4 linked regions of the Oryctolagus cuniculus genome follow. The protein of the gene in region 1 interacts with the protein of each later gene in a pairwise test. Links are inferred from orthologs where the notes say so. Each region holds a gene or a part of one and is shown in the gene's direction. Other genes may lie near its edges.

What was found.
Region 2: the proteins of NECAB2 (region 1) and KLC4 interact in binary tests that used the Homo sapiens proteins (3 or more experiments, as listed by UniProt). The two-hybrid records come from large-scale screens. The link is inferred for Oryctolagus cuniculus from reciprocal best matches to the Homo sapiens genes NECAB2 and KLC4.
Region 3: the proteins of NECAB2 (region 1) and KPNA2 interact in binary tests that used the Homo sapiens proteins (3 or more experiments, as listed by UniProt). The two-hybrid records come from large-scale screens. The link is inferred for Oryctolagus cuniculus from reciprocal best matches to the Homo sapiens genes NECAB2 and KPNA2.
Region 4: the proteins of NECAB2 (region 1) and CCDC146 interact in binary tests that used the Homo sapiens proteins (3 or more experiments, as listed by UniProt). The two-hybrid records come from large-scale screens. The link is inferred for Oryctolagus cuniculus from reciprocal best matches to the Homo sapiens genes NECAB2 and CCDC146.

Annotation. Positions count from the first base shown.
Region 1 is NC_091449.1:65,756,681-65,763,125, forward strand, and holds part of NECAB2 (N-terminal EF-hand calcium-binding protein 2), read left to right. Parts: intron 1-1,600; coding exon 1,601-1,709; intron 1,710-3,080; coding exon 3,081-3,106; intron 3,107-3,237; coding exon 3,238-3,335; intron 3,336-6,445. UniProt on the Homo sapiens protein: May act as a signaling scaffold protein that senses intracellular calcium.
Region 2 is NC_091436.1:126,957,395-126,963,839, reverse strand, and holds part of KLC4 (kinesin light chain 4), read left to right. Parts: intron 1-1,750; coding exon 1,751-2,033; intron 2,034-3,973; coding exon 3,974-4,204; intron 4,205-5,559; coding exon 5,560-5,641; intron 5,642-6,445.
Region 3 is NC_091448.1:13,982,958-13,988,470, forward strand, and holds the end of KPNA2 (importin subunit alpha-1), read left to right. Parts: coding exon 1-13; intron 14-189; coding exon 190-423; intron 424-642; coding exon 643-825; intron 826-2,067; coding exon 2,068-2,217; intron 2,218-3,720; coding exon 3,721-3,813; 3' UTR 3,814-4,045; downstream 4,046-5,513.
Region 4 is NC_091434.1:141,714,677-141,721,121, forward strand, and holds part of CCDC146 (coiled-coil domain-containing protein 146), read left to right. Parts: intron 1-2,318; coding exon 2,319-2,495; intron 2,496-4,247; coding exon 4,248-4,321; intron 4,322-5,152; coding exon 5,153-5,380; intron 5,381-6,035; coding exon 6,036-6,222; intron 6,223-6,445. UniProt on the Homo sapiens protein: Essential for sperm flagellum biogenesis and male fertility.

The DNA of each region.
Region 1 (6,445 bases):
CTCCTGGGTGGGGTCGCGAGGTTAGATGCCCGAGCCAGACGGCCTGGGCTCAGGCTGCTGCCGTGGGACCGGAGCGAGCCCCCGGCCCCTCTGTGAAATGGGGTGGTAACACCACCTGCGTCCTGGCACTGGGGAGACCGAGGAGTGAGCCCTCGGGGAGGCCTGTTCGCACCATGCTGGGCCGAGGTGGGGGTGGGGCAGGCAGTATCGCGTTCTGTGCAGTGCACGGAGCCCCCTCTGGAGGTCACAGGTCGCACGGCTGGTGTTGGACTTCCCACGGTGGTTTTGAGGACTTTTGTACATGGGATTATTTTGGTTTCTTTTTTAAAAAAGATTTATTTATTTGAAAGTCAGAGTTACACAGAGGAGAGGCAGAGAGAGAGAGAGAGAGAGGTCTTGCATCTGCTGGTTCACTCTCCAAATGGCTGCAACACCAGAGCTGTGCTGATCCGAAGCCAGGAGCTTCTTCCGGGTCTCCCACGTGGGTGCAGGGGCCCAAGGACCTGGGCCATCTTCTACTGCCTTCCCAGGCCATAGCAGAGAGCTGGGTCGAAAGTGGAGCAGCCGGGACTCGAACCCGCGCCCATATGGGATGCCGGCACTGCAGGCGGCAGCTTTACCTGCTACGCCACAGTGTTGGCCCCGATTTTGATTCTTGGTCTTGTTTTTGGAAGGTATAAGTCCTGTGTCCTCCCGTGACCCTGAAACTTGAGCCGGGCTGTGGGGGCCCAGGCGCACCCGTGCCCAGCCTCCCTTCCCGCCCATGTGTGTCCTGTCTCACAGCGCTGGGGAAAACAGGTGTGGCGAAGGCGGGTCGGGTCTGCGCTCCCTCCCTCTCCTCCTCGGGCAGGGGCAGCCGCACTGGCAAGTCTGAGAGTGACTTCCCCTCTGGCCGCATGGGTCAGCCATGTGTGGGTGCTCAGGCAATGGCACGGCCCCCTGAGCTCCGCTGTCCCTCACACACAGGGCTGTCCCCAGGGAGGCGTCCTTAGCGCCTTCAGGGGAGGGCATTGGCTGTGGGGAACTGGGGGAGGCCCCACCTGCCTGAGCTGGACCTGCTGGGACCAGCAGTCAGACCAGCCCGGAGCACCAGCAAGTGGCAGGACAGGAGGAGGGGACACAAGGAGAGGGGACAGGGACAGGAGGCAGGCCCTGTCCCCTCTGCCTCCCCTGCCCCATTCCCAGGACCGCAGCCTCCAGCCGGGGTTGATGGACAGGCAGGACGAGCATCTCGGCACGCGGCCGTGTGGGGCGAGGGGCTTCATCGGACCCCCGGTCGGACCCCCCTGCTGTGGCGCCGTGACCTTGGGCTGGGTCAAGCAGCTTGTGCTTGGGGGTGAACTGAGTGACGGCTGAGCGCCGGGTAGGGCCGACACCGGGACAGGGTCCATGAGCCGGCGATGCTGCCCTGTGTCGGCCTTCGTGGGGGTCGGCACTGCTGGATGAGTGGGAGACACCGTGTGAACTGGGGTTTACCGTTAATTGCTGGCGGGGTGGGGGACGGCAGGGGCCCGCCTGCTAGCTGGGCCTGGGGTCCCGGGGTCCCGGGGTCCCGGGGACCGCCCCCGCTGCCCCTCACGGCCGCGCCCGCTCCCTGCAGATGACGGGAAGCTGTCCCTGGAGGAGTTCCAGCTCTTCTTTGCCGACGGCGTGCTGGACGAGCGGGAGCTGGAGTCGCTGTTTCACACCATCGACTCCGACAGCACCAAGTGAGCGAGGCCGGGGCCCCAGGTGGATCAGCACCGCGCACACCTGTGTGGCTGTGGCTGCGCGGCTAGCGCCCCTGCAGACCCCCGCCACCACTGCCTGCGACACGGAGCCTCCCTAACGCTGCCCCCGTTTTAAACCAAGCTCCGCTTAGGACTTGCTCAGCCCGCCCCACAGCGCCCACACCTGTGCCTCATTAGCCTCTCCCAGCCCATCTCGCCCTGACCTGCATCTCCACACCCACCACGGGCCCCAGCCTGGCTCAAGTTCAAGTGCATCCCCACCCCCGACAGCCTATGCCCCCTCCACCCCACTCTGTGGAGGGGCAGAGTCCTTGCCTGGTCCCCCTCCTCAGGCCCGCTCGGATGGTGGGCACCAGAGTTCCTGGGGGCTGCCTGGGGCAGGTCTGATCATCTGGGGTCCCTTGCTAGACAGGAGGGAACGAGCAGCCGCCACCAAGCCACGTGCAAGGGGCCGAAGGCAGTGCTGGCCTGGGCCGGACTGGGAAGGGGCAGGTGGAGTGGGATCCTCGCCTATGGATGGACACTAAAGAAGAGGCTCTGAGGGTCCCTGTGGCTGTGTGGGGGCTGGCAGGTGCAGGCGCTGCCCCCTGATGGGTTCCTCCTCACTTGCTGGCTTTTATGGGGGGCAGCGGGAGGTGCTGCCTGCAACGGCGAGCCTGGCCAGGGCCACAGCTGGCCTCACCGCACACAAGGGCCAGGCCAAGACCTTGGCGTTGTTGGCTCTGGCGTCCGGCCAAGTGTGAGCCGAGGACATCAGCTGCCTGGGGTGCTGAACTGCGCGGCCGCCTCCTGCAGAACTCGGAGCTCCCAGTCTGCGGCCCGCACAGCCCCGCGTCCAGCCCCGCGCCCTGGCCCCGGGGTTCTGCTTAGCACACTCGGGTGGGCCGGCCCCTGCGCTCTCGGGCACATGGTGGGGAGGTTGCCGGAGCCTGTACCACCACTCTGTCCCCAGTTCCTGGCCCGGTGCACCTCTGATGCCGCTGTGTGCACCTGTGCCGCCAGCCTCCTCTACGCTGTCGGGAGGGGGGCCCAGGGGCTAGGGGTGAGGAGCAGGGCTGAGCTGGGTTCTCCAGGAGCTGTGTGGACGGCCTGGACAGCCAGGGCCCGCCCTAGCCCTGCCTTTGGAGCCCACTGTTCCCCAGGAGGTCGGAAGCCTTTGGAAGGGAAATTGGGGCAGTGGGTACTGGCCACGCCTACTTGGACAGAGCCACCTCGGGGTGCGGGCACTGGGGGTGCACGGGAAGACAAAGGGCGGCAGGAAGCCTTTAGCAAGCTGCACAGGGTCCCCCCCCCCCACCAGCTGTGGAGGGGTGGGGCCACCACACTCACACCCCTCTCCTCTCTCTGCAGCCACGTGGACACCAAGGAGCTGTGTGGTAGGTGCCTGGCTCTGTGCCTACAGGGGTGGGACGGGGTGCAGGCAGTGAGGGGCAGAGGCGGGACTGGGGGGCCGCGGGCGAGGGGCAGAACCCCCCCATGACCCCCGACCTCGGCTTCCCGCCCCCAGATTACTTCGTGGAGCACATGGGGGACTACGAGGACGTCCTGGCCTCGCTGGAGACCTTGAACCACTCGGTGCTGAAGGCCATGGGCTACACCAAGAAGGTCAGCGGGGTCCGAGGCCCGGGGCTGGGATGAGCCGACGGAGCCCAGCAGCCCGGGCGTGGTCCTGCCTGTGAGGGTCCGGTTGGAAGCGCAAGGTTCCCGCCCAGGTGCAGCCTGGCCTGGAGGGCGAGGGGGTCCCCCGACAGGTGCTAGCCCCAACCGCCCGTGGTGACCCCGTGACCTGTGGGCCCACATCTGCTGGGGCAGGAAGGCACGGCAGGCCCTGGAGGCGGCCCCGGGCAGGCGGCAGGCGGCAGGCAGGAGGGCCTGGGCAGCAGGGACCTGTGTCCTGCAGCCCCTGTGGAGGCGCAGGCACGGCTGCCCCCCGCCCAGCACCTCCCGGGGAGCAGAGTGGCAGTCCTGCAGGGAGCTCCTCACCGGCCCTCCGTGCGCTGCAGCCCGAGCCGCTGGCTGGGGACAGAGGAGAAACTGAGGCAGGGCCCACGGGTGCAGCCCCCGGGCAGCGCGGGCCCCTCCGGAAGGGCCAGCCCCTGCTGTGGAGGCCACGGGGCCGCAGTGGAGGAGTCGGCCGCCTCTGGCCCACGCACACCCCGGGCTGTGGGACAGGGGCACAGACCCGAGCTCTGCTGAGCGCGGCGTGGCCTCCCCCGCGTGCGGGATCCACGCTCACAGGCCTCAGCGCGCACGTAAAACCCACTCCAGAAAGGTCCGCGGCGCAGCGCTAGAACGTGGCGTGCGCCCGTGGCTAGGCACCATCCGTGTGCGTCAGGTGAGGGTGTCACGTGAGGCTACATGGCTGGGCGTGGCCTGGAGCGCTGTGCGCGAGGCTGCGCCGTGGGCTCCGGGGCTGCCGTTGCCGGCCGCCCACTGTCGGCGGGCACGTGAGGTCCGGCGGCTGCTGCCCAGCTGCAGCGCGAGGGCCGCGGGTCCCCGTCTCGGCCTCCCCGCACCGTGGTGGGGCCGCGGTTCTGCCTCCGGCCCAGCGTGCCGCTGCTCGGGCCTGGCCCGCGCTCCGGGCCTCGGTAGAGGGTGGGCTCCCAGCCCCATCTGCGTCCCCCGACGTGGGTGCAGGGGCCGGGCCCTTGCCGTCCTCCGCTGCTCTCCCAGGGGCCTTAGCAGGGAGCGGATGGGAAGTGGGGCAGCCGGGACTTCAGAGCGTCGGTACAGACGGTGGGGCTGTAGTGGGGGTGAGGGCGTGGGTGTAGGCAGGGTGCTATAGTGGAGGTGAGGGTGGGTGTAGGCAGGAAGATGTAGTGAGGACGTGGGTGTGCAGTGGGGCTGTAGTGGAGGTGAGGGCGTGGGTGTAGGCAGGGGGCTGTAGTGGAGGTGAGGGTGGGTGGGTAGTGGGGCTGTAGTGGGGGTGAGGGTGGGTGGGCAGTGGGGCTGTAGTGGAGGTGAAGGTGGGTGGGCAGTGGGGCTGTAGTGGAGGTGAGGGTGGGTGTAGGCAGGGGCTGTAGTGAGGACGTGGGTGGGCAGTGGGGCTGTAGTGGGGGTGAGGGTGTGGGTGTAGGCAGGGGCTGTAGTGGAGGCGGGTGTACACACAGCCGCCCTCCACGTGGCCGTGCACGGGTGTTCTGCCCGAGAAGTGCGAAGCCTGCCGTGGCGTGAGGATGAGTTTGTCGTCCGCGTTGCCCGTGCCGTGGTCGTCCTCGGAGCCACGCGCCGTGGAAACCCGGCCATCTCTGCCTGTTTCTCGCGTGAACCCTGCCTACAAGCGCCCTTTGCCCATGCCTGTTCCCCGCTGTCACTTGGCGTCTGCGTGTCTGTTCGTGGAAAGCGGCCGCCCTGCTTACCCCACGGCGTCGTGTTCTGTCGCTGACCTTGGTCTGCCTTGAACTTCTCCCCTCTCTGAGCTGCGTTGCAGCCAGGAGCACAATGCGTCGTGGCAGGGACCCCCCCCTCCGTCCCCCATAATGCCCCACTGCCTCCCGGGTGCACATTAGCAGGAGGCTGGAACCTGGGGGCCAGCTAGCCTAGAACCCAGGCCTGCAGCACGGGGTGCCGCTGTTCCTAGTGGTGCCCTCCGCACGCTGGTTCTTGGGGTTGCACACAGGTTTGGGGCATTAGAAGGCTGAAGGGGGGAATGGTTAAGCAGCACTTTGTTGTGAAGGTTACAGGGGGTGGGGGGAGACAGAGAGCGGTCTTCCATCTGCAGGTTCACCCCAGGTGGCCACACGGCCGGCGCTGGGCTGGGCTGGGCTGGGCTGGGCTGGGCTGAAACCGGGAGCTGGTACTCCATCCGGGTCTCACTCGTGGGTACCACAGACCCAGGCCTGGGGCCGTCACGTGCTGTCCGCTAGGCTGCATCATAGGACACTGGACGGACAGCGGGCATTCACACGGGATGTGGGGGGCGCAGGGCACGGCCAATGCACAGCGGTGCGCTCGCGGGTGTTACTGGGTAACTCCTGCCCCGCAGCCCCCGTGCCTGGTGCTGTCACCGCTGCTCCCTGCCCGCACCTGCCGATTCAGGAGCGTTTCTGCCGTTCAGGCCTGGAGCGCCTAGGAGCAGTCCCGTGCCTCCGGGGCCTCGATCGCCGTGTCCCCTGTGGCCTGCGCGGCCGGGACTTGTCCCGTGGATGCCCAGGTGTTTGTTAAAACATTCACAAGCGAAGTGACAGACGGGGAGTCAGCGCTCCTGCAGGCAGTGGCTCACTGCCCAGTGGCTGCAGCTGGGGCTGCACGAGGCGGGAGCCGGGAGCTCTGCACTCGGAGCGTCTCCTGCTGTGCCAGGCGTGTCGGCAGGGAGCGGAACCGGAAGCGGCGTGGCTGGGACTGGAACCCGTGCGCTTAGGGGATCCGGTGTGCACCGGGCCCAGGACACGGTTCCTGGCGCTGTCCCTTGCTGGGGCCTGCAGCGCTGGCCTCGTGGCCGAGGCACCGACCGGACAGAGGAGGAATCCATCCAGGGTTCACTTGGCTGCCCTGGCCACGCCCGCACCTGAGCACCACTCTGCTGGGAGGTTTCTGGAAGGCTCTCCTCGGTGTGTGGGTTGACCCTCCCCCTTATTTCTTTCCTGAAGCTGTGCTGATCAAGCTGCACTGAGGGCTTCGAAAGGCGGAGGCAGGGAGCGGACAGGGCGCTCCGTCTGCTGGGTCCCTTCCCAGATGGCGCAGTGACCAGGGCCGCGCCAGGCTGAAGCCAGCAG
Region 2 (6,445 bases), on another chromosome or scaffold:
TAGTTTGGGAGATGCTGGGCTGGCTTCTGTGGGTGACGCAGCCTGAGGACCTTGAGCCCTCTCATGTGACCCTGCAAGGAAAGCTCCTGGTTTCACTTTGAAACCTATTTTTCCCGTTTTTTTTTTTTTTAAACCCAACTTTTTTTATGTTTTGCGTATTTCCTGACTTCTTTAACTGTGTTCCCTTTGCAACTCTCCCAAACACCATTTTTTGGATGCTTTTATTTTTTTTTTATTTGAAAGGCAGAGTTACATTGAGAGAGACAGAGAGAGACGTGTGTGTGTGTGTGTGTGTGTGTGTGTGTCTTTGATCCACTGGTTCACTCTCCAAAGGGCTGCAATGGCCAGGGCTGGGCCAGGCTGAAGGCAGGAGCCTGGAATTTGTAGCTCCACTTGGGTCTCCCATGTGGGTGCAGGGGCCCAAGCACTTGGGCCATCTTTTAGTGCTTTCCCAGGTGCATTAGCAGGGAGCTGGATCAGAAGTAGAACAGCCAAGACTTGAAACTCCAGCCAGCACCATGAGATGCAGCATTGCAGGCAGCTTAACTGGCTATATTATGATGCTGGCCCTTCTTTGAGTACTCTAATGTAGTCTCTCTTCTCTTCATTTCTTTTCCTAACCTAAGCTCTCTCCAACGTCTTTTCTGTTCTGTTCGTAAGTCTTAATCCTTGATAGTTCCAGGCACCTTTGTTCCCTCTACAGTCTGGCTTCATTTCAACTCTTCTCTCTCTTTTTTAAAAACAACATATTTAAGCTTTTTTAAAGACTTTTTAAAAGTTTATTTATTTGAGGCCAGCGCCATGCTCACTAGGCTAATCCTCCACCTACGGCGCCGGCACACTGGGTTCTAGTCCCGGTCGGGGCGCTGGATTCTGTCCCGGTTGCTCCTCTTCCTGCCCAGCTCTCTGCTGTGGCCCGGGAGTGCAGTGGAGGATGGCCCAGGTGCTTGGGCCCTGCACCCGCATGGGAGACCAGGAGAAGCACGAGTGCAGTGGAGGATGGCCCAGGTGCTTGGGCCCTGCACCCGCATGGGAGACCAGGAGAAGCACATGGCTCCTGGCTTCAGATCAGCGCGGTGCGCCAGCCGCAGTGGCCATTGTGGGGTGAACCGATGGAAAAGGAAGACCTTTCTCTGTCTCACTGTCCACTCTGCCCGTAAAAAATTAAAAAAAATTTTTTTTTTAAAAAGTTTATTTATTTGAAAGGCAGAGAGAGAGAAAAAGATAGACGGGGCCAGTGTTGTAGGGCAGCAGTAAGCACTGGTTTGAGTCCCAGGTTCCTGTTAATGTGCCTGGGAAAGTAGCAGAAGATGCCCCATGTCTTTGGGTCCCTGCCACCCATGTGGCAGACTTGGATGAAGTTCCAGGCTCTTGGCTTTGGCCTAGCCTAGCCTCAGCCCTAGCTGTTATATCCATTTGGGGAGTAAACCAGCAGATGAAGAGTTCTCTCTCTCCCTTTCTCCCTCCCCCCCCCCCCCGGTAACTCTGCCTTTCAAATAAATATCAGAAGCAGATCCAGGACTCAAACCCCCAGGCACTCATCCCATGTAGCATCCTAACTCTGTGCCAAATGCCTGTTCCCCTCTCCATCTCTGCCTGGAATCTTAGCTTTCTGTTAAGTGTAGCAGTTTTCCTCCAGCTAAGTCACAGGATCACCCATACTCCTGTCCCTTCACTTGGATCCCTATTACCAAGGTCCTCAGCTTCTCTGTCTTGTGTTTACCACAGCTGAATTCTTGTTTCTGTCTAGCCCAGGCGAGGTTCCCCTGGCCAGGATGTCAGGTCTGGTGTTGGGGCAGCGGGATGAACCTGCAGGGCACCGACTCAGCCAAGAGGAGATCCTGGGAAGCACTCGGCTCGTGAGCCAAGGACTGGAGGCCCTGCACAGTGAACACCAGGCTGTGTTGCAAAGCCTATCCCACACCATCGAGTGTCTGCAGCAGGGAGGCCATGAGGAGGGGCTGGTGCATGAGAAGGCCCGGCAGCTGCGCCGATCCATGGAAAACATAGAGTTGGGGCTGAGCGAGGCCCAGGTGAGCTGGTGCTGAATGAGTCAGAGCGGGTGGCGGAGCAGCTGTCTGGTTGGATGTTTGGGTCACTTGGGATCACCTTGTCTTAGATGCATGCATACATTAATTCAGTAAATATGTTTGAAGCCCTTGGTATGGGCCAGAACTCCTTTGAGCAGAGGAGATACGTCACAAAATCTTTGCCACGTTGGTGTTTGCATTCTAGGTGTTGGGGAGTAGGGGTGGGGACAGGACAGGCAATGCACAACAAATGAGTAAATGATGCAGTGTGCCGAGCAATACTTGCTAAAGATAGAAATGAGTCAGGGAGGGGGACTAGGGAGTGTGGGGAGAGGGTACAGTTTTAGATAATGCTGATCCAACAGGGCCTCACTGTAACGGTGATATCGGAGCAAAGATTTAAAAAGGTGATGGAATGAATCATCCAATCAATAAGAGATCAGCCTCCTAAACAGAACAGCCAGTGCAGAGGCCCTGAACTTGAACTTGAGCCTGCCTGCTGAGTTCATTGAACAGCAAAGAGCAGTGTGGCTGTAGTGCACTCAGTGAAGGAAAGCAAAGAAGAAAAGTCTAATGGACTATGGAGTTGGGGAGAAGCAGAGAGATCATGTGCAATTGACTGCTTTTATTTTATGTTAGTGATATGGAAGCTACTGGGATGTTTTGTTTCTTTAGGTTTTTTTTTTTTTTTTTTGAGAGAGGAAGGAGACAGAAAGAAAGATCCCCCACCTGCTGACACACAGCCCCAATGCTTGCAACAGACAGGACTGGTTCAGGATTGAAGTCAGGAGCCACCAGGTCTCTCATGTGGGTGGCAGGAACCCAACGACATGAGCTGTCACCACTGCCTCCAAGTGTCTGCACCAGCAGGAAGCTGGAGTCAGGAGCCAGAGCTGGGGACCAAATCCAGGCACTTCCATGTGGGACACGGGTGTCCAAACCAGCATCTTAAACATCAGGCCAAGCATCTACCTCTATTGGAATGTTTTGATTTTTTTTTTAAAGATTTATTTATTGGGGCTGGCATTGTGGTGTTACGGGTCAAGCTACCACCTGCAAGGCTGGGTGTCCCATATGAGTGCTGGTTTGAGATTGTGCTGATTCAAGACCTGGCTGCTCCACTTCCTGTCTGGGTAAGCAGCAGATGATGACCCAAGTACTTGGGCCCCTGAGCCAATGAGGGAGATGTGGAAGAAGATCCTGGCTCCTGACTTCTGCCTGTCACAGCCCCAGCCGTTGTACCCATTTGGAGAGTGAATCATCAGATAGAAGATCTCTTTTCCTCTCTCTGTAACTCTGCCTTTCAAATAAAAATTATTTATTTCTTTGAAAGGCAAAGTGACAGGGTGGGGGTGGGGTGGAGGAGATATCTTCCATCTACTGGTTCTGTCACCAAATGGCTGCATCAGCTGGCGCTGGGCCAGGCTGAAGCCAGGGACCAGGAACTTCATGTGGTAGGCAGGAGCCCAAGCACTTGGGCTATACTCCACTGCTTTCCCAGGCACATTAGCAGGGAGCTGGATCAGAAGTGGAGCAGCTGGGACTCATACCAGCACTCTGACATGGAATACCACATTGCAGCCACTGCACCACACAACGCAGCCCCCGTCAGAATGTTTTGAAAAGAATGATGTGATCTAATTTGACATCATCTGGCTGCTAGACTGAGAATAGGCTCCGGGGGAGCAAGGGCAGAAACAGGGAGGCCAGTGAGGAGGCTGCTGTGGTCATCCAGGTGGGAATTAGTGGTGGCTTGGCCTTGCGAAATGGCAATGGCAGTGGTGAGATTCAGGGTGTATTTTGAAGATAGCATCATTGCTAGCCAAAATTCCTGCCTCTGGGCTCCTCTGTGTTCCTGCCAGTCTTGCTGCTTCCCAGTAGGCTCCCCTCCTGCCTATAGGCTCCCTTCTGGAGTCTGGAGCTCACAGGATGTGCCCACCTAGGTGATGCTGGCTCTCGCCAACCACTTGAGCACAGTGGAGTCAGAGAAACAGAAGCTGCGGGCTCAGGTACGGCGGCTGTGCCAGGAGAACCAGTGGCTGCGGGACGAGCTGGCGGGCACCCAGCAGCGACTGCAGCGCAGTGAGCAGGCCGTGGCTCAGCTGGAGGAGGAAAAGAAGCACCTGGAGTTCCTGGGGCAGCTGCGGCAGTATGACGAGGACGGGCACGCTGCGGTGAGCACTCGCAGGTGGGGCTGGCCGGGGGATGGGCAGCTGGGAGACACCACCAGTGGGGCCGTTGTCCCCCCATCCTCAGGGCCTAGCAGCTCCCCAACCTACCCCACCTGGCAGGATTGCTTTTTCAGGTGATGGCTGCGGGGAAAACTCTCTGTTCATTCAATGAACGTTTGGTGAAATGCTTACTGTGTCAGGCACTATGCGTTCCCCTAGTGAACAGGCAGACACACTTGCTGCTGTCACAGTCATGGACTCGTGAGGGGAAACAGACAAGCTCCTGGACAATTCCAGTGCAGAACACTAAGTGCTACAGGTAGGGAAACCCAGTTGCACAAGACCCTCTTAACATTTGCTGTGGAAACGTGTGAAATTTCACTCTCACTCAACGGGCATTCATGTATCGCTGTGCCTCAGGCAGTGCAAGATGTGTGTAGGGAGCTATAAAGACCCGTAGAAGAGACACTCTGCCTTCTTGAGTTTATAATGTGTCTGTAGGGGACAGGGCTCACGCTTGAGAACGCAGGTGTGACAACACATGGCAGCAGATGTTCCGTGCTGGGTGAGTATGGCTCAGTAAGTGCAAGAGGAATTCATAGGAGGTAGGCCCCTGAGGCCGGAATGATTAAAGGATTCCCAGAGGGGGCCGGGGACAGAGATGGGTATGCTTTAGGTTGAATTTCTCATTTGACAAGGGTTTGGGATGATTCTTGAAGGATGACAAGGAAGAGAGACAGGGGAGTCAAGCTAAGGCTCCAGGGCTGCACTACTGGTCTACCCCTGAGAGAGTCAGGAGACGCTTTGCATGGGACACACTGGTACAGGGGGCAGAGGGCAGGGGGCAGGGGAAAGGGCTGGAGGTCGCTGCTTAAAGCTGCCGTTCCTGATGGGAAAAGCAGATTCTCCCAGTGTGGAAGTAGGTTGGACAGTGAGGGGTGCTCACTATGTCCGAAGCAGGCAGTGGCAGATGATGGGTGTGAGGCTGAGCGAGACACCTTGGGCATGTGTCAGTAAGGTCAGAGACACTGTCCGGCCTCAGGAGAGACAGAACAGACATATAATCAGAGTAAACACCAGGCATCAGCACAGGGCTATAATTACAAGAGTGGAGCAGGAGAGAGGGAGGCTGGGGAGTGGAGGTAGTAAGGAAGGGAACTTTCTGGATGTGAAGGAAGGGGAAGTCGTGGGAATTTGTGCCAAGCATCTCTGGCTTTTGCCAACAAAAGAGGCCTGAGTGTGGCTGGGCCGGATGCTGGCCTTCCCAGGGCAGAGGCCCCTCTCAGTGACTTTGTGGCTTAGAGGGGCCCTCACACCGGCGCTATCTTGGCCCTCACATGCTACTGCTTCCCTTCCAGGAGGAAAAACAAGGGGATGCCACCAAGGATTCTCTGGATGACCTCTTCCCCAACGAAGAGGAGGAGGACCCTAGCAACGGCTGTGAGTCTGCCTCAGAGCTGGAGGGGAACGAGGGGCAGCAAGAGGCTGCTCTGGGCCCAGCCCTGTGCTCAGGATGTCACCATCCAGAAACAGGTTCTCCCCTCTCTCTGGAGAGGGGGCAGGGCTGGGCTAGTCCTTTAATTTTCTCAGCCTCCTCCTTATCATCAATGTTTATTAAGCGATATGTGCCGAGCACTAGGAATAGCAAGATGAAAATAACACAGGTCTCACTGGTGATGTGTTCACGGTCTATGGGGGAATGAACCTGAGATGGGAAGAGCATGAGTTCTTCAGGGGAAGGAACCAGCTCTTTCTTATCTTTGTGTTCCTGGGATAGCCCCTGGCTCAGGCTTATTATTTTTTTTAAGATTTTTTTATTTATTTGAAAGGCTATGAGAGAGAGAGGTAGGGAGGGAGGGAGAGAGAGAGGGGAATTTTCCATCTGCTAGTTCACTCCCCAAATGACTGCAACTGTCAAGGCTAGGCCAGGTCAAAGCCAAGAGCCTGGACATCTATCTGGATCTCCCAAGTATTTGGGCTATATTCTGCCACTTTCTCAGGAGCTGGATCAGAAGTGGAGCAGCTGGGACTCAAATTGGCACTCATGTGGGATGCCAGGGTCATAAGTGGTGGCTTAACCCTTTATGTCACAACACTGGCCCCGCTCAGTCTTATTGAGTGAATGCATCACTGGGAACAAATAGAACTGTAGTGGGCACAGGTTCCAGGGAGCAGGTAACAGAATAGCAGTGGAGGCTCTGGTGTCAGTAGAGAGAGTCTGGTAGGGGCAGGTGCAGGTATGGA
Region 3 (5,513 bases), on another chromosome or scaffold:
TTTGCCAATTGTGGTAAGTTGTTAACTTCAAGATTAGAATATAAAGTACAAGGGACACAATCGATAGTAAATATTGAAATACTGCCTATTTCAGGCCATAAAGAGCCTCTTGTCCAAATTTTTAGGGTACAGACATTTTGAGCAATTGGAAAAAAAAATAATCAGCATCAACATTGTTTTCCTTTTCAGACTCCTGCGCTAAGAGCCATAGGGAATATTGTCACAGGGACAGATGAACAGACACAGGTTGTGATAGATGCGGGAGCACTTGCCGTCTTTCCCAGCCTGCTGACTAACCCCAAAACTAACATCCAGAAGGAGGCCACGTGGACAATGTCAAACATCACAGCTGGGCGTCAGGACCAGATACAGCAAGTTGTGAATCACGGATTGGTCCCGTTCCTTGTTGGTGTTCTCTCTAAGGTATTAGAGATTTAATCATATGATTGCATTTACAGGCCAACATTTTTGTGGTTGGGTACTATTCATTGAGTTCATTGATAAATAATAACCAGTAATCCCTTTCCTTTAAGGTTGGATAGAGCCAGTTGGTTGTTTCAATCATTATTTCTGTAAAATGAAATTTTGGAATCTCATTTGTGTGACTGTTCTGAACTAAAACCAATTCCTTTTGTTTAATAGGCAGACTTTAAGACACAAAAAGAAGCAGTATGGGCTGTAACCAACTATACAAGTGGCGGAACAGTTGAACAGATTGTGTACCTTGTTCACTGTGGTATAATAGAACCGTTGATGAACCTCTTGACCGCAAAGGATACCAAAATTATTCTGGTTATTCTGGATGCCATTTCAAATATCTTCCAGGTAAGCCCTAACAGGGTGGCATTTGTTTGAATTTGGGCTTCATGGTGATTGATTTGCTGTGTCGACTAGGGAGGGCAGCTAGATGACTCATTAGTAGTCAGAACCAGCAAGGCCATTTATGTAAGCCAGGCTCCCTTCAGTGGTGCACTCCCCAATAAGCACAACCCCTGGGGCCCTGCCAGGAGCCAGACGTGCAATCCAGGTCTGCCAAGTGGGTGGCAGACAAGTACCCGATTACCTGAGCCATCACTGCTGCCTATCAGCATTAACTGGAAGCTGGAATCAGGAGGTGGAGCTAGGAACTGAATCCAGGCATTCTGAGGCAGGATGCAGGTATCCTAGCTACCAGTCTAAATGCCCTTTTTTTTTTTTTTTTTTTTAAGATTTTATTTATTTGAGAGACAAGAGTAACAAAGGGAGAGACAGAGAGGTCTTCTGTCTGCTGGTTCACTTCCCAGTTGGCAACAACGGCTGGAGCTGGGTTGATTGGGAGCCAGGAGCTTCTTCCTGGTCTCCCATGCGGGTGCAGAGGCCCAAGGACTTGGGACGTCTTCCACTGCTTTCCCAGACCATAGCAGAGAGCTGGATCGGAAGAGGAGCAGCCCAGACACAAACTGGCGCACACACCTGCCATCCCCTCCATCCGTAGCCACTAGTGTAGGCTCAGCCTATTGCGCCACAGCACTGACTCCTCTAAATGCCCATTCTACCACACTCTTCCTAGGGATTATAAGAGGCATGTAACAGGTGATTAATGAATGACACGACTTTAATTGAAGTCAAGTCTTGAAGTGAAAGCTATTCATACTACTTATTTTGTCAGGTATATTTAACCCCCCAATTTCATGCTAAATTTTGGTGAAATTAGCTATATTTTTCTCGTTTGACCTGAGGATGATTTAACCCTGCCGGCACATGGCATTTTGCCGTAGTGATTGGTACCAACTTCTAGATCTGGTTCTGGAAATTATTACATGTTGAAGCTGGATTCAGAATAAGGAAGGCTGGTGTCTATCGCCATCTGTAAATTATGAGTGACTGGTTCTCCCACCTTCTCTCATGTACCTGCTACATTGAGTTTCAAAAAAAATATAAAGTGGACATAAGACTATCATTAGGATTGTTAAAGAAACTGTTAATGTGCATTCCTGTCTGATATATGAAAGCTTTGATATGTGTATTTTCATTAAAATAGAACCATCAGAGAATAAACCAGTAAACTGGACCTTTCTTTTCTTTTAGGCTGCTGAGAAATTAGGTGAAACTGAGAAACTTAGTATAATGATTGAAGAATGTGGAGGCTTGGATAAAATTGAAGCTCTTCAAAACCATGAGAATGAATCCGTGTATAGGGCTTCATTAAACTTGATTGAGAAGTACTTCTCTATAGAGGTGAGCTACTGTTAATAACAACTTGGAAAATACACATGTATGGGCAAACTATGAGATGTTCTTTTTTTCTCTTTGTACTTTAAGTGAGTTCCATACATTTAAAAAAATTTTTTTATAAAGATTTATTTATTTGAAAGAGTTACATAGAGAGAGGAGAGGCAGAGAGAGAGAGAGAGAGAGAGGTCTTGTATCTGCTGGTTCACTCTGCAGATGGCCACAACGGCCAGAGCTGAGCTGCTCCTAAGCCAAGAGCCAGAAGCTTCCTCCAGGTCTCCCATGTGGGTGCAGGGGCCGAAGGACTTGGGCCATCTTCCACTGCTTTCCCAGGCCATAGCAGAGAGCTGGATCGAAGTGGAGCAGCCGGGACTCGAACCAGTGCCCATATGGGCTGCTGGCACTGCAGGAGGCGACTTTACCTGCTACACCACAACACTGACCCCAATTTTAATGTTTTTGAGAGAGAACTATAAGCTGGTTCATTCCCTAAATGCCCATAATGCCTGAGTCTAGGCCAGGCTGAAGCTAGAAGCCAGGAGCTTAAACAAAGTCTCCATGTGGGTGACAGAGACTCGAGATACCAAGCCATTACTGCCTTCCCCCAGGGTGCATACTAACAGGAAGCTAAAATCAGGAGTTAGGGCCAGGATTTGAACTCCTAGTAGCTTTTTTTTTTTTTTTTTTTTTTTTGACAGGCAGAGTTAGGTCTTCCTTCCGTTGGTTCACCCCCCACATGGCCGCTATGGCCAGTGCACTGCCCCTATCTGAAGCCAGGAGCCAGGTGCTTCCTCCTGGTCTCCCATGCGGGTGCAGGGCCCAAGCACTTGGGCCATCCTCCACTGCCCTCCCGGGCCACAGCAGAGAGCTAGACTGGAAGAGGAGCAACCGGGACAGAATCCGGCGCCCCAACTGGGACTAGAACCCGGGGTGCCGGTGCCACAGGCTGAGGATTAGCCTATTGAGCCACGGCGCCGGCTGAACTCCTAGTATCTTAACTGCTAGGCCAAACACCCACCCCCTGTACCCTTGTTCAGTATTGCAAAATGTCAAAAAAATATATTTAGGACTTGCCCATATAATATTTGGGTTGATGATATTTAACCTGAAATTTTAAAAGTCACTAGTTTACTTTCAAATGAACAATCTTGGGAATCGGAATATCTTTAAAGTTTATGGTTGTCATTGTAGGGATTCTTGGAGAAGTGGGTGAACTCTGATCGTAGTTGGCTCTCTTTCTACTGACAAGTGGCAGGTGGAACAGAAAAATCTCAATTTTGCTTGTAGTAGCATTCTTTAACCCACTCAGAACTGCTTCTCCCAGGCATTCCTGACTTGTCCGGGTTTCAGCGGCCCTTCCCTCCTCCTGTGTCAGACAGAAAGAATATGGTCTCAGGGTTGAAGGTGGGTGTGCAGCTGTAAACTTTATGAGCAGGTCGAGACTTGAGGCATGCTACTGCTTAGAAATGTGCCATATTTATGGGGTCACGTTGCTTTTTCATGTTTCAGGAAGAGGAAGATCAGAATGTTGCGCCAGAGACCACCTCTGAAGGCTACACCTTCCAAGTGCAGGATGGGGCGCCGGGCGCCTTTCACTTCTGATCGCACTGCTGAGGCACCAGTCATTTTGTTGTTTGTCTTACTGTTTCTCTACTAAGACCTTTTTTTAAATGTGGTTTGTTATTGTAGCACTTTTACAACAAAACTATACTTGAACAGTTCCAAACTGTACATACTGTATGAAGCTTGTCCTCTGAATGGGTTTCTTACTTCTGTGGAATTTCGTATCTTACAGTGTCCTGTAAATAAAGATAAAATTCCACCCCTTTCTTCACCTGGTGTGTGTGTTGTTTTCTAATTCGGAGCTCTAATGTTGCAGATGAAGGGTCCGTGGCAACCAGTCAGTGGGGCCAGTCCTGACTGTAGGAGGTGGGGTGTGGATAACTTTTCTTCCGGATTCCGAGTCTCTTGGTTTGGTGCTAAGCTGCTGCTTGTCCTTTTGGTACTTAAACACCTGATATCTGTTTGCTAAAGCTGGAATCAGAAGTTTCACAGAAAGAGGAGTGAAGTTTCCAGAAGTCCTCAGCCAGTGTTTTTAGGTTTCACTGACCAGGGAGATGGGATAAAAATCTTAAATTTAGTCACGCTCCTCCTGGAGCTACAAGTGGGAATCGTTCCTCCCAAGTGAGACCTGGTGCTACATTGGCATCACCTGGGCACGGTTACCCAGGAGTTCTGGTTCATTTGTTGTAAGACTTTTTTTTTTTTTTGACAGGCGGAGTAGACAGAGAAAGGTCTTCCTTTTGCCATTGGTTCACCCTGCAATGGCCGCTGCGGCCGGCGCATCGCGCTGATCTGAAGCCAGGAGCCAGGTGCTTCTCCTGGTCTCCCATGCGGGTGCAGGACCCAAGCACTTGGGACATCCTCCACTGCACTCCCGGGCCACAGCAGAGAGCTGGCCTGGAAGAGGGGCAACCGGGAGGATTAGCCTAGTGAGCCGCGGCGCCGGCCTTGTTGTAAGACATTGTTTCTAAGTCACTGGTAATATAATTCAACAGGCTTCCACTTCTCCCCAGTCATCAAATATGTTTTTGTCTTTTGTAGATAACAGGGTTTTCCAGTTTCCTCCATGCAACTGTTCAATTGCTTACGCATGGCCAACACATGAAGTAACTCCCATAGCCGAGTTCCTGACGTGCCTGTACTTAGGGCATCTTGGGCGTCCTGGGAGGAAGACCCCTGAAGTGGAGAGAGGAGGAGGAAGCGGGCTCTGCACACTGCCCTGCCTTTCCCACTCTGCTCCTTTTCCTTCTCCAGCTTGGATGCTGGATCCAGAAGTCCTTGGCTTGAGAAAGGTACTGTTAAGTAGACCTCGACACCCCAAGTCTGAGGCGCTGGAGTGGCTGCAGGGGGACAGCAGCGGAACAGGCGCGTTGGTAGCAAGTGTGGGGTCTGTGTGTCAGGCGTGGCTCAGTAAGTGCAGCAGTGCACAGACAACTGATGTCCAAAATACGGGTTTTCATATTCTAGATAAAATCCTTAACGTGCTGGTTTCCTTGGGGGAGTCAGACGCCATTAGAGGCATTTGGATGTCATATTTAATTTGCTTGTGGGTGAGGTTTTCCATCTTGGAGAGTGGAGCTTCCCAGCAGTTGGATTTTTAAAAAGTCAGGCTGGCGCCGCGGCTCACTAAGCTAATCCTCCGCCTTGCGGCACCGGCACACCGGGTTCTAGTCCCGGTCAGGGTGCCGGATTCTGTCCCGGTTGCCCCTCTTCCAGGCCAGCCCTCTGCTGTGGCCCGG
Region 4 (6,445 bases), on another chromosome or scaffold:
TTTAATTAAACTATCTTTTCCCAGACTATCAGTGTGTGCCCTCACTATTCCGCCATCTTGGCTCCGCCCCTTTTCTTTACATTTTACTGTGGAGAGTTTGACTACAATATGGTGTGGTAAATATCTTTTCTGGTCATGTCTATTAGGAGTTCTATATGCTTCCTATACTTGGATGTCCCTTTCTTTCTCCAAATTAGGGAAGTTTTCTTTAATTATTTCACTAAGAATGCCTTCTAATATATTCTGTCTTTCCACGCCTTCAAGAACTCCTACAACCTGTATTTTGAGTCATTTGATAGTATCCCATAGATTTCCAACACTGTTTTTTAGTTTTCTAATTTCTTCTCCTTTTTTTTTTTTTTTTTTTTGTCTGACTGAAAATTTCCAGAGAATTGTCTTCTAACTTGATATTCTTTCTTCTGCTTCACCAATTCCATTGTTAAGGCTTTCCACCATATTTTCTATTTGTTCTATTGAATTGTTCATTTCCAATATTTCTTTTTGACTTCTCTTTTTTTTGGTTTAAAGATTTATTTATTTATTTGAAAGTTTGAGTTACACAGAGAGAGAGGAAAGGGAGAGAGAGAGAGAGAGAGAGAGAGAGAGAGAGAGAGAGGTCTTCCATCCACTGGTTTACTCCCCAATTGGCCGCAATGGTCGGAGCTGTGCCAATCTGAAGCCAGGAGCCAGGAGCTTCTTCCAGGTCTCCCACACGGGTTCAGGAGCCCAAGGACTTAGGCCATCTTCCACTGATTTCCCGGACCATTGCAAATAGCTGGATTGGAAGTGGAGCATCTGGGACCTGAACCAGTGCCCATATGAGACGCCAGCACTGCAGGCAGTGACTTTACCCACTATACTGCAGCACCAGTCCCTGATTTCTCTTTAAGATCTCAATTTCATGGGAGAAATTTTCTTTCATGTCATGTATGGATTTCATCAGTTTATGTATTTGCTTCTGATTACTTCGAAGTAATCCTGGGATCAATTTTTTGAATTATATTTCTGACATTTCTTCAGTGTCTTCATCTTCACATTATGCTATTGAAGTATTATATTCTTCTGGGGGTGTCATGTTGTCTTCCTTATCCTTGTTTCTTAAATTGTTGCATTTATTATTAGGCATTTGTGGATAAACTTGTTGGTTTCTCTTTTGTTTCTTTATTCCCTATGATGGCTTTTATCTTTGAACCATGCCTCTGTGGCTTAGTGGAATGTACACATTTTTAATGAATACCCAGAGGCATGTTCTGCATGTAGCCAGTGATGTCTGTTTAGTGCTCCAGGGTAAAGGGAGTGTCCAAGGTGACACCAGGTTGAGCTTGGTAAATCCTTTTTTTTTATCATAAGGGATGATTTTTCTGCTCTGTTGGCATAGTCTCATGCCCACCTCCTCTCCTCAAAAAAGACCAGTGCCTGGGCACTGGGCACTAGCCCCAGTGGGTACAATATTCATCCATGCTACCACAAGAACCACACAAAGGATCTGTACGGGCCTCAGTGTAAGCATGAATCCTGCAGCAATCCCCCCGCCAGGGAATCAGGGATCCCCAAGTGTGTGGAGTTGCCCACAGTGACTGCCCAAAGTCCCAGCCACACCCTGCTCCCCCCACCATTTAGCCATAATGTTTTCAAAGTCCCAGCACACAAGCCTCCCATGGACACAAGCACCCAGCTTCCTGTCAATTCCAGCCAATCTTGGGCACCTCCACTTGGCTGGTTGCTGGGTGCACAGACAAGAGCTGGTGCAGCTGTTACATATGTCCAAAATAGCTCCCGCCCTCAGCATGTTACCAAAGGCTGGTGCAGGGGTGATTGGGTGGAGAGAAATGTGCTTCCTTTTTTTCTCATCTAGGCTGGCAGGTACACTGTCCCCTACAGGGCTCCAAGCTGGGCTCGTGCCAGACTCTTCCCACAGCTTAATTGCTAGATCATGAACTGCTGCAGTCTGGTTTCACCTTACTCTCCAAAACTGATGCTGAGGCTCTTGGCTGCTGGGTCCTGAGTTGTGTGCATCCACACCCTCCACATACATCCACAGTGTCCCTCTGACTTACATGGAATTTCCCCTGCCATTTTCTCCCTAACTCTTCGCTGAGACTGAACTCTCCCCTTTTTCAAACTAACTTCCCCTAGCCTAGAGCAGTAAGCTCCCTCCCTATTCTGCCATCTTGGATCTCCCCAAGTGGTAATAACATGGTGAGAATCATTCAAACACCAAGACAAACATAATCAAAATGGTGAAATGATTTCCTATCCAGTTTTTAGGTAGATAAATGCTTGCTAAGACTAGTCACCCAATCACTGTCCTTTTAAAGGAAATGGAGAAGAAGATGAGAATATTGAAAGAGAGCACCGAGGAATTACGTAAGGAAATAATGCAGAAGAAGTTGGAGATTAAAAATTTACGGGAAGATTTGGCATCTAAGCAAAAGCAGTTACTGAAGGAGCAGAAGGAGCTGGAGGAATTGCTGGAGTATCAGGTTGTCCTGAAGGTATGCTGCTTGCAGTTCATAGATGCTTATACATGGTGCCTGCCTGAGAGTCAGCGTGATGGGATCAAGACGAGCTATGTAGGTCTGACTAAGGGATATTGTCACACAAACTGCGAGGATCTGCATTATGGCTGAACCTATCACTCTCTGCAAGCTTGCAAAAGACTTAAAGGTAGTATCACTCTAATTCTGACACGCCGACCCTGGAAGAGAGGCCTCTCTAGCCCGTACCAAGCATTTTTCAGTATTAGCAGTGATTGTCACAGACACACTTGCTTTTATCAAAAAGGGGAGGGGCGTATCTATTTATTTGAAAAGCAGAGTGACAGGGCGGGAGGAAGGAAGAGACAGAGCAAGCTCTTTAATCTGCAAGTTCAGTCTGCAACAGCCAGGGCTGGACCAGGCCAAAGCCAGGAGCCTGAGACACCATCTGGGTTTTCCACACGGGTGGTAGGGTCCCAAGTACTTTATCCAAGAACCTCTGCCCTCCTGGGTGCATTAGCAGGAAGCTGAATTGGAAGTAGAAGAGCTGAGATTTGAATCAGCACTCACATCTGGGATGCAGGCATCCCAAGGAGAGGCTTAACCTGCTGCTTCATGATTATTCTACCAAGAGCAATCAGCTGTCCTAACCTCTTGTGTCTATTTGTGCTGCCTTCTCTTTGATTCTATTCTAATACTTCTCACCGTAAAAGGGATGATAGGCCTGTGCTTATGTTTTAGGAGATAATAAATTACAAATTCATTTTATTTTAGAAAGTGTATAATAATTCTCAAAACATTTAAATAATTTATAGTGTTCTTTTTAAAGAAACATAGCTAGATTCATTGGTTTAGGGGATTGTTATGACACCCTTTGACCTCTTTCCTTGAGAGTATCAATGCAGTTGGCCAAGCTGTGCCCAGCTATAGGAACAGACCAGAGATAGGTATACCAGATGTCCAGTGAAGCTTCAGCCTCTCCATTGTAGGAGCCTTGTCTGGGACCCTGAACCTAATTTTCCATCTGTAATATCTTGCTCTTTTTCTTAAAGAAGATTCCCCAAACTTTACAAGTTCCAGCCTCACAGACCTTGGACATGGACTAGGACAGAACCACGTCCCACTCCAGCACACTGCAGCCAGGTGCCCAGCCTCCAGCATATGCGTGTCCCCAGCCCAACCCCAGCGAGACCTTCTAGAACCCATGTGGTATTTTTATGCCTGGTTACATGTACCTGAAAATGGCAGCAGATATACCTATCTTAGAAGGTCATCTGAGTATTGAATGAAATCATTCTTACCAGTATTAGGGCAGATACCCATAAGAAGTCTACATAGTAGGGACAGTACTATGGCACAGCACGTTAAACCACAGCCTACAGCACCAGCATCACAAACAGAGCTGCTTCCAATGCAGCTCCCTGCCTGGGAAAGCAGTGGAGGATGACCCTGCACCCACATGGGAGACCTGGAGGAAGCTCCTGGCTCCTGGCTTCAGACTGGCCCAGCTCTGGCTATTGTGGTCATTTGTGGGTTGAACCAGAAGCTAGAAGATCAATCTGTCTCTGTCTCTCTCCTCTCTCTCCTCTCTCTCTCCTCTCTCTCTCTCTCTCTCTAACTCTCTAACTCTGCCATTCAAATAAATAAATATAAATCTTTTTAAAAATAATTCTACATATTTTAGTTCTTCTCTCTTTCCTGTTTAATTATCTTGTCTTCCTTGCTCTGTTCCAAGACTGAATTTAACATGGCTCTCTATTTCTTTACTAGGATGAAGTGGCGCACCATCAAACTATTCCTGTACAAATTGTGAAAGAGATAGAAAAAACAACACGGAAAAAAGTGTATGAATCAATATTTTCACTTTCAGCCCCTCCTTGCCTACTCACTAGACATATCACATTACTATGGTAACTTTAGGAATGTCTGCTCTGGGCCCTGTCTAGGTCATATATGTCAAGTTCTTTAAAAGAAAGAAGTGCAGCAAATTATTATCATTCATACATATTTCTGTTTTAATTATGGATTCAAATTCTATTCCTAACTCATAAATCATATCTTTATGGAGAAATCCAATTGACTTTCACAGAGCTGGGGACAAATTAGGTGAACAGTTTTGAAGTTCATGGTCTTGGAAGCAAGTCAATCAAGCAGCTGCTTAAAGCCCCAGTGATAGTAACTCTTTTCTTTGCCACGTATTTCTGTATCTGACGCCTGAGACAGAGGTCATGGGGGAGATTCTCAAAGTTTAGAGGAACTAATTGTTGAAGAAACAATTTAGAGAGAAGAGGGAAAAATGCAGCAGGCACTAATAGTTCTAAAATCCAAGCTCACTGGCACCAAAGATGAGAAATTTAGGTCCCTTGTGAGAAGCTAGTGAGGAAGGGAGTAGATTCCCAGAGGTGAGAGCAGTTGGTTGACAGGAGAGGAAGATGGGCTGCTTTTCCTCTGCAGCTGTCTAAGGATGATACCCTCCATGCCCCATTCCTCTGTGGCCTCCACCCACTTCTAGTCACTGAATTTATAACCAACTCTTCTGCCGCCTGGTTGGGAAGTTAACAGTTTCAGGCAGCATGGGCTCAGAATAAGGTAAATTGTGTGTGTGTGTGTGTGTGTGTGTGTGTGTGTGTGTCCATGCACATGTGTGTTTATGTGTGCCTGTCTGTCTTCTACAGAGAAACAGAAAAGAAAAAACTTGTCTTGGAATGCGAAGTCAAAGAGCTAAATGACTCCATAAAGAAAGTTGAAACCAAAATTAGCGCTGTAGTGGAAGAGAAGGAGGATGTAATGAAGGAAGTAGAAGGCAAACGAGCCTTACTTGAAATCCGGGAACGAGAATACAACCAGTTGGCCAAGATGCTGGAACTGGCCAGAGAGAATGAAGCCACGTCACTAAGTGAGAGGTCAGTGGTCGTTATGTGCACCTGACATCTGAGACTTCAGTTTGTGTTTGAGGATTCAGAAAATAATCTCAGTATTCTGTCGACTCAATGAACATTTTATAGGATTTTAAATTGATTTTTACCCTAATGAAAAATTATCAAAGAAAACATTTGAAGTATTTCCCCCTTCTCGACTCATCATTTTCTTCAATTCTGTGATCAAATGTTAAGGGGGAAAAATCTGTTTTATGTTGTAAGTTTCTAAAATGTGCCTCTGGGATAGTCTATCCCTGGAGAGTGTTGTGTAATTCAGGGATGTTTACCAACAAGTGAATGGTATTTCTGAGGTTATCTTCACTTATTCCTAATGGGAGCAATTCTATGGTGCAATCCTCTGGGCGAGTTTTCTTCCTACGTGAGGTACAATTTCAGAGGAATTGGGGGCATCTGTCTCTGCCATTTTGCTATTCTGGTTGCCTTTCTGTTTGTAAGGTTGTTGCCCTAAATGGTACCAACTCCAAAACCTAGTGGTGGTGGGCATGATTGACAACGTATGGTTCCAACATGAGGATATTTCCGTGTGTACATGCTGAGAATGCTATCACGTTCAGTTTCGAAGGCCATGCGGGCCATGCAATGGCAATTCACTTTCCTTTTCTGCACTTACCTGGAACAGAGGGATCTTGGATCTCAATTTGCGGAATAGCCTCATCGACAAGCATAACTACCATGACGAACTGTCTCGTAAGCAAAGAGAGAAAGAGCGAGATTTTCGACATTTGAAGAAGCTGGAGCTGCAGTTGAAAGTGTCCTGGGATACATTTGCTCAGACTCAAGCAACACACCAAAGGCTACTATTAGAGGTGGGTGCTATAGACCACTGTCTTGACTTTTAAGTTCACTGCCATCATTTGACATGAAAATGTTTTGAGAAGCTGTTTTTCCTGCCAGGAGAAAAGGAAGGAAAGTTATCAGAGAAAAGGTAATTTTCAAATGCACCAAACCTATTAAATGAGGGCACTGCCAAAGCGCTTGGAAAATGGGATTAAAAAATAAGTTTATTTTGGTACAAGGAATTGTTTGAAA